Arabidopsis thaliana: one gene and its partner. The protein of the gene in region 2 interacts with the protein of the main gene of each other region in a pairwise test. Each region holds a gene or a part of one and is shown on either strand. Other genes may lie near its edges.

What was found.
Region 1: the proteins of HAT1 (region 2) and AT4G39780 interact in a two-hybrid assay, tested with the Arabidopsis thaliana proteins (one large-scale study listed by BioGRID).

The regions. Positions count from the first base shown.
Region 1 is NC_003075.7:18,457,122-18,460,876, forward strand, and holds AT4G39780 (Integrase-type DNA-binding superfamily protein), read right to left. Parts: upstream 2,137-3,755; 5' UTR 1,914-2,136; coding exon 1,095-1,913; 3' UTR 785-1,094; downstream 1-784.
Region 2 is NC_003075.7:9,737,673-9,741,949, reverse strand, and holds HAT1 (Homeobox-leucine zipper protein 4 (HB-4) / HD-ZIP protein), read right to left. Parts: upstream 2,433-4,277; 5' UTR 2,089-2,432; coding exon 1,941-2,088; intron 1,854-1,940; coding exon 1,525-1,853; intron 1,440-1,524; coding exon 1,360-1,439; intron 1,259-1,359; coding exon 967-1,258; 3' UTR 716-966; downstream 1-715. UniProt on the Arabidopsis thaliana protein: Probable transcription factor.

The DNA of each region.
Region 1 (3,755 bases), 8.7 Mb from region 2:
ATAAACTTAAAAGGCCTGTGGTGAAGTATACGTTTTTGCAGATAGATCTAGTTTTGTTTTGTCATAGTTGGGCACTTGGCCTAGAGTCGTTAGACTACAACTAATTGGAAAGTCAGAGAATAAAGAATCAAACGTTCCAATTTTATTTTTATTTTTATAATAATTCCAAAAACATCCATTTCAATTTCTGGAAGTATGAACACTGTCTTTACGTACTGAAAGAAAAGAATCAGAATATTGGTTAAGGCTGCTTTGTTTATTTTTTTTTCTAAATATAATATTTGAAAAAACAGACTTTAAAGTAGTTGTATAGTGTATATATTATGAACGTTTTAATCTTTGCCACAATTGTTGGTTATTGTAAGATTCTTTACCTTAAAGCATCGAACTTTGTGGCTTATGTGTTCCCATATGTCAACAACGGACCTCTATCGTCCACAATACACACAAATGCAGCATAAGTTATTTGAATTATCGCCGGAATAAAGTTCTATAATTATTTGATTTGTTTTTCTTTTTTGGAATTTCCTCGGCAGGAATACATTTTCAAATTTCGTCAAATGATATTTTGCTTTGTAGTTGAAACATATTAGATTTTATTTTCCGATCCAAATTTTGTTCCCATCATGTCTTTTTGAATCATTTTACAAGAATGATTTAAGTATAAAAAAGGAGAATTAACATTAAGTTTAATTTCTTAAAAAATCCTTGACAGAAGAGATCAATTATCTTTCCGCAAGTTCTCTGAAACTGTTTAATAAATGAATTTTATACTTTATCAGCATGCAAACCTTATTTTTATAATGACCAAAAACACTATCAGCAAAAGACTAATAATTTACATTCTTCATTAGAAATTTAAAGATGAGAGAATACATGGAAACTTCTCCGATTGGTCAATGACAAAGGTTTTTGAAAGTTCAAAAAAAAAAAAAAGACATAAACCAGTCAGACCAAAACATGGAGGAAGAGAAACAAACCCTAGAGACGATTCTCTCCGCAACTGTTAAAAATTTCAGTTGCAGAGAGATTAATATAAGACACTGAAATTGAAAGACAAACTCCTAAAAGAAAAAGTCTTCTCTTTGCTTTGTTTAAGATTCGGACAATTTGCTAATCGCATCCCAATCAATCTCCACAGAAGGAAACTTCTCCAGCCCGAAACTCCCAATCTCATCAAATCCAGAATCCGAAAAGTCCAAGAACGTAGTAATACCAGATTCCGGCGAAGAAGATTCCACATGAGACTCATCTGAAAACGAATTCTCATCAGATCTCAAGAACCCATATTCACTTTCTTGATACTCTGTTTTTGGCGGGAAAAGCTCTGTTTCAGAACAGGGGAGGTCAATATCCTCTGTTTTTCTCAAGCTCTGACAAATCTCTTGGAGCTTTGCGTCGACAGAGGAATGAAGAGGATTGAAACAGCTACCTCCTCCGTAGTATCCATCCTCGTGTCTGAACTGTGGGAAATTAAGTCTCGCGAACTCGCCTCTTAGCTTGTAAGCAGCTAGGTCATAAGCCATGGCTGCTTCTTCAGCTGTGTCGAAAGTTCCAAGCCAGAGTCGGGTCCGGTTCTTGGGTAAACGGATCTCAGCTACCCATTTTCCCCAGTGCCTTTGTCTAACTCCTCTATAGAGTTTCTGAGCGGTCATGTTCTTCATTGGGACAGGCTTTGGGGCTAGATTTGGAGAGATTATGTTACGTCTCTGGTTAAGCTGGTTTTGGATTTGGTGGATTTGGTAAGGTGTGAGCTGGTTTAGACCGAGAGATGTGGTTTGATTGAAACCGAAGACTGTGTTTGAATACGTAGGAGAAGAAGAATCAGTGTTGGTGGTATAAGGTTGAAGTGCTTTCATGAGCTCTTCTTGAAAAGGATCTGTGTTGCTATTGAACATATCTATGGCTGCCATGGATCTTTAAAGACTAGGAAACAAAATTAAAACAGAGAGGGATTAAAAACACACCCTCTTAGTCGATTGAATAGAAATCAAAATCTCTGAAAGAACAAGAAAAAGGAAGAATTATAGCATTTTTTGTTTCTAAATATTTGTTTTTTTCTGTCGCTTTTGGTTTCGCTTGATGCCAAGTTCTTTGCTTATATAACACCATAAGCTAAGCCGCCCATTGAGATCATTATCATTTTAAAATTATATATAAATTTCTTCAGTAGAATGTTAAATTTAATAATTACATTGTTTAGATGCTTTTGTTCTGTTGACGATTTGTTTCTCGTCAGCTTGATAAAAATCTTTTATTCCATGGATCTAAGCCGTTCCCAGGGAATATAATACGATTTTATGGTGTGTACGTGTGTGACAAAACAATCATCTATCATGGTTAGACTAAGAGTTCTAAATTTTACAAAAATTCCCAGCTCAATTTTTTAAAAAAAATCATAACTATACTAGCTCGCAATAACTATAAATATCAATTTCACTTTCTATTGTGTTTATTAAGGATATATTTATATTGATTTCATGTTATATGTGAAGAGCGTGTTATATTTTTTTTTGAAAAAGAGAGCATGTTATAGTTTAATTAGGTTTACACGTTACACACACACCAAAAAGACGGAATTAATTTTCTTTAACTTCTCATATGATCTTTGACTCTAGTTTTGGAGCTATATTTAATAAATAAAATCGCCGAAATATAATCTTTTCAGCAATAATTTCAAAAATCGTAAGAGCCAAAAACTGACATTAGTTGATTCTAGCGCAAGTTGAAAGGCCAGTTTGCCTTCTTTACCACTTCTTTTCTTTTGCCAACATATCTTCTTATAAAATAATTTATATTTTACTCATGTTGAATTAGAAGGAAAAAAAAAAAGCATGGAATCAGTACTTGAAGTACTAAATAATATTCATGCAAACAAAAAGAAGAAATTGCAGCCATATCAAACATGAGAATATTGGTGGTCATACTAATATTCCCAAGTCCTAATGTGGTCCATTTTCAGAAATTTTTATTGAGTATACCGCATACAAGTAGATGTAAAAAGTGGGGTGGGGGGGTTGTAAATTAATAAACTAAGGGGTTGTTTGGTTAGCAAGATAAAATTAATTGGAGAAAGTGAAGAAAGCTATTGGAGAAGAATGGAAAGAGGTGAGAACTCAAAGGCGGTTAAAGTTTGCGTCACAAGGAAGCTAGTGGATCTTCTTCACCTTTTTTCAAGTTCCTTTTCAGATTTTAACCATTTAAAAATCCAATATTCTTCGAAATATTATGTAAAATTCTTTTGTGTTTGATTGTTGTAGAAAATAGAGAAATTGTATAATGATTTTATTTACGATAAGTATATTGTTTCGTTTAAAACAAAATGAGGTAGACACGTTTCAGATAATGGATTTACTTTTGTTTTCGTATATATTATTTTTCTGTTTTGATAATTCATTACATAGTATCAATATGAAGAGAAGGTTTTAAGAATTGCAATCAATATAATCAAAGATTCATGAGCTAAATTACATTCTCATTTCATTCCATATTCTTTTTCACACTTACTAGTAGCCATTTTTTATTTACCTAAATAATTTTTTGTTATAATATTCACAAATTTTCACCATAAATGATTGAAAATGGAAAAAAGTTAGGTGATATGAAAAGCTTTACACGGATACTACTTGCTTACTTTGTATATTCGTTTACCCTCCACGTTTTCCCCCCCCCAAAAAGACCATTAATTCCAACTTTATGAGTGAATTTCAAAAAATTTCCACGTAATGTATTCCCTTATTTTCTTATTGATTACT
Region 2 (4,277 bases):
TCTACTTGTATATCCACACTTTCAATTTATTGGCAAAAGAAAAGTCATAACTCAGTGTTGCTTGCTTACGTTGTAACACATTTTTTCGATATTTTCCTGCTAAGGTGAAGAGTTTGGTTTCATTGAGACCCCCATTCGTTACTTGTAAGCAAAGATTGCAAGGATAATCCCAAGAGCTTGATGTTCATCACTTGTGTGAGAAGAAATTGCTTTCAGTACTTTCACTTTCACCAAGTACTGACAAAATGGGGTCAGTTGCTGGTGTGATCAAATATGCATGTGTTTCTCACTTTCTCTGGTGAAATAGACGACGACAACCACCACCATAATTTGGGCCGGTAAATTCGGCCCATTAATTGCACACTGTTAAGAGTTATTACCCAGTAAGATTGTAGCATTCTAAAAAATCAAGATTCTCGCTCGCTTACTACAATTCCTGGGTCCCTTTAGGATTTGTCTAGGTAGGAAGAAATATCAAACCGTCTAAATTTCAATAACCTGACGGTTCAACTTTTGTTTATGAAAAAAACTATTAGAGTATTTAGATGATTAGAGATATCATTTTTATGTAAAAGAAAAAAGAAGGGTATGAAAAAGATCTCGAAAAATTTGAAAATAGAAAAACTTATGCTTTTCTCATGAGGCACTTAACCTGGTCGCATATACAAAGATCATGTCAACGTAAAATGAAGATGGCTTCATGATTATGTCAAGAATGTATAATGGTTATTGGTTAAGAAGAGCTGGGTTTATCAAAAAAAAATAAAAGAAAAACTGTTCTTTTTTATCCTGTTTTTTTTTTTATTATTATAAATTTGTTTGTTATCAAGAAGACAAGAATAACTAATTTAATTAGATTAAAGTAAATTTAAAAGTAGAAAAAGGCTTTTAAGGATACATTAGCTGAGAGTCAATAATCTAAAAAGTACAATGACCCACACACAACCCATAGAAGCAGCATTAAAGTTAAGACCTAGGACGCATCACATCAAAGGTTGACCCATGGGCCATTTGGAGCCATGGACTCAATGAGACAGATCGCTGGTTGTGGTTAGATGAGGATGGTCCGGCCACACGTTCACACGATGGACACATCAAAAGTGTGGTCGGTGGACTCATCTGACCATACAACCGCGGTGAAAGCTTTAATGCTCTTAGTTCCGCTGCCTCTTTCTCGAGCCGCCGATTCTCTTCCGTTAATTTCTCAACACATCTTTTCAAATACTCGCAATCCACTTCGGTCTGCTTTAACTTTGTCCTATTAGGCACAAAAATGGGTTGTATTGTAAATAACATTGCTCTTTAGGGGCAAAATGGTCAACTAATATGTAAAAATAATGAGCACTCTAGTTCTCTCACCTTGCTCTTCTGTTTTGGAACCACACTTCCACTTGTCTTGCTGTTAAACCTAGCTTCTTAGCCAAAGCCAGCTTCTGTTTCTGTAGTTTTACAATAAAGCCCTTGTTAAAAACAGAGTATTTACAATAATACTTTCACGCTCCGAGAGATGGATGAATGACTAACGGGATTGAGAGTATTGTGCTCTTTGAAAGTGTCTTCGAGAACTGCGGATTGATCTTTGGATAGTCTAAGCTTCTTCCTACAAGTCTCACCTCCGTAATCTTCCTCTTCATCGGAGGTTCCACGTGAGGAAGATCTATCTAGAGTGATGTCAAGGTCATCTCCGCAACCACCACCGGAGGTACCTTCTCTTTCAGTACTCCTCCTCTTTCCACTCACTGTGCTCGAGATCGTACTGTTTGGAGACGAAACTCCTGTCTCCTCTTCCAAATCCACCGTTGTTGGCAAGCTGTTCACGTCGATTTTCCTAAGAAACTGTTGCTTTTGTTGATCTGAAAAATGAAAAAGGGTTATTTCAGGATCTGTGTTGTTTCCTTGTGGAAAAAGGTTATCAAGACTTTGTTGAAGAAGAAGCTTACCTGAGGAAGAAACAAGGGTTTGGTTCCATGGAAACATCTGGAGATTGGACATTGGTGAAGAAGTGGGTTTAAGATTTAGCTGGAGAGGATGGTTTTGTGCAAATCCCAAGCTAAGACTTAAACCCAAATCCTCTTTACCCATCATCATGATATTGTCTCTTGGTAGAAAATGAGAATAGCAAAAGCTTTGATCTTTATGAGTAGAGATGACTAGAAAAACCTTGATCTAAAGCTGATTTTACCTCAAAAGATTTATCAGTTGTGCTAAGTGTATGGAGGACAAGAGAAACCTTCTTCTAGGGTTCTTATAGAGAGAGAGAGATGTGAAATGGGAAATGAAAAGAGAAAGAGAGGATTAATATAGGAAGTGAATGATATGAGATGTTGTCAGGTTGGCCAATTATAATCTATTAATGCCCTTTTGAAACTCAATTATTATATCCCCAACTTGTTCCCTCTTTGTCTTCTCCTTTCTCTTTTTTTTTTTTCTTTATCTTTTCCTTCTTCTTCTTTTACTATTTTAGTAAATTGTATAGTAAGTCCTATCTTTTGCTATCTTTTTCCATAACCTCAAAGTACTTCTATATATGTATGGAATCCAAAGTAAATTTAAAATGCAAATTCATATTTTCCATCTCTACTTTATTTCTTGCAAATTTGGACTAGGAAAAGAGAAACTCTATAATATGCGGTGCAAATCCATTATGACATTTATTTAGCGACAATAAGTACATCAAATTATATGCCTAATCAACTAAATAATGATTCTAAGTTTTAATTATATACCTTCACATATATATGAAGTGACTCATGTTATGTCTTGCATATATTAGATATAAGCAGCCTTAGCTTCTGATTTAATAGTATCCGAGGAATTTTATTATTGCGCCAATTTGATATCATTTCGAGATATATAGACATTAGTTCTTTATTAAAAAAAAAATTAATAGAATTATTATTAAGAGTTGTAACTTGCTAATCTTTTTGACCATGTCAAAAAAAAAAAATAAAGATGTTATTGGATGAGCTTACTAGAGTGAATTTTATTTAGTATTTACGGTAAGTTGAATAATTGCCAATCTAATAGTTATGCTACAAAATATTTACTCTACTGTAAAGAAATAAACGTGAACATCTTTAGTTTTTTACTCCACCTAAAAGTGGTAGTAAATATTTCAGTTCATTTTCTCTTTTCATTTTTATTTAACCCTCAAATTTTTCCAATCATTGGTGCAAGAACTTGTGACCTTTGTAAAGAAAAAAAAAACAACTCAATCAGTCAAGATCACACACGGATGAGAACAGATATCGAAGAAATAGTTGGCAATTAATTGTTGAAATAATGAAGAAAAAAAAAGGACTAAATCAAGTGGTTGGTACAAAACACAATCCACATGAATCTGAGCTCATTCAAAGTTGTGGGCCAGTCACCTGTTGTGATCCAATCATATCCATGTGGGATGTGGGATCTATCATTACACTAACACCCATATGTATTACATATGAATCCAATATTCACTGACTGTTTCTCTATTTTCATTTCATGTTCTTAAACTTTCAACTATTATAGATCATCATACTTCCCTTATCATCAATTTTGTAGAATTTTTAAGTATTCAGATCGTGTTCTATAATCAGATATATTCTGAGTGCTGCTAATCAGAATCATTTTGCTTTATTGTTGACAAAAAAAAAAAAGAAGAAGTAAATTAAAACTGCCGAAAGATGATTAAAAAATGTCTCAAATAGTTTTGGGCTCAAGAGAGAACATGGGCAGGTGGGTCATGTCACGTGACAACAAGGGACCCGAAAACACTCGACCCGGCCGTGCGTTTTATTTTGTTTCCTCACGCGCCGACATCTTATCATTGCCTACCACGCGCCTTCATCATTTTCGCTTCGTTGTAATCATTATACGCATGATTTCAAATGAAATAACTCCTTCTCATTAATGATCTAACTGTACTCGAAATTAAAAATAGTTAAACATAGTACATTCGAATTATATGCCGTATATAATGAACTAATAATTCATCTTTCTAGTAAGTATTTTTTTTTTCAAACTAGTAGTGTATTATGCGTTCTAAACGAAAACATGAAATATCTATTTAGAAGCTCTATTTGAAAATGTTAATGGATTTGAATACTCACGACAAAACGAACCAAAAAATTGTTATTGAATATATATATTTCTACTTCGTTTTTTGATTAGAAGAAATTCGAGACCCAAAAGCTCGTAGATCCCCCTTAGGTTGAGACGAGAAATTCAAGACCCCTATTAGCTTATATATATTTAGTCTATACTTGTATATAATAGCAGTGATTAAGGGTTCGGTA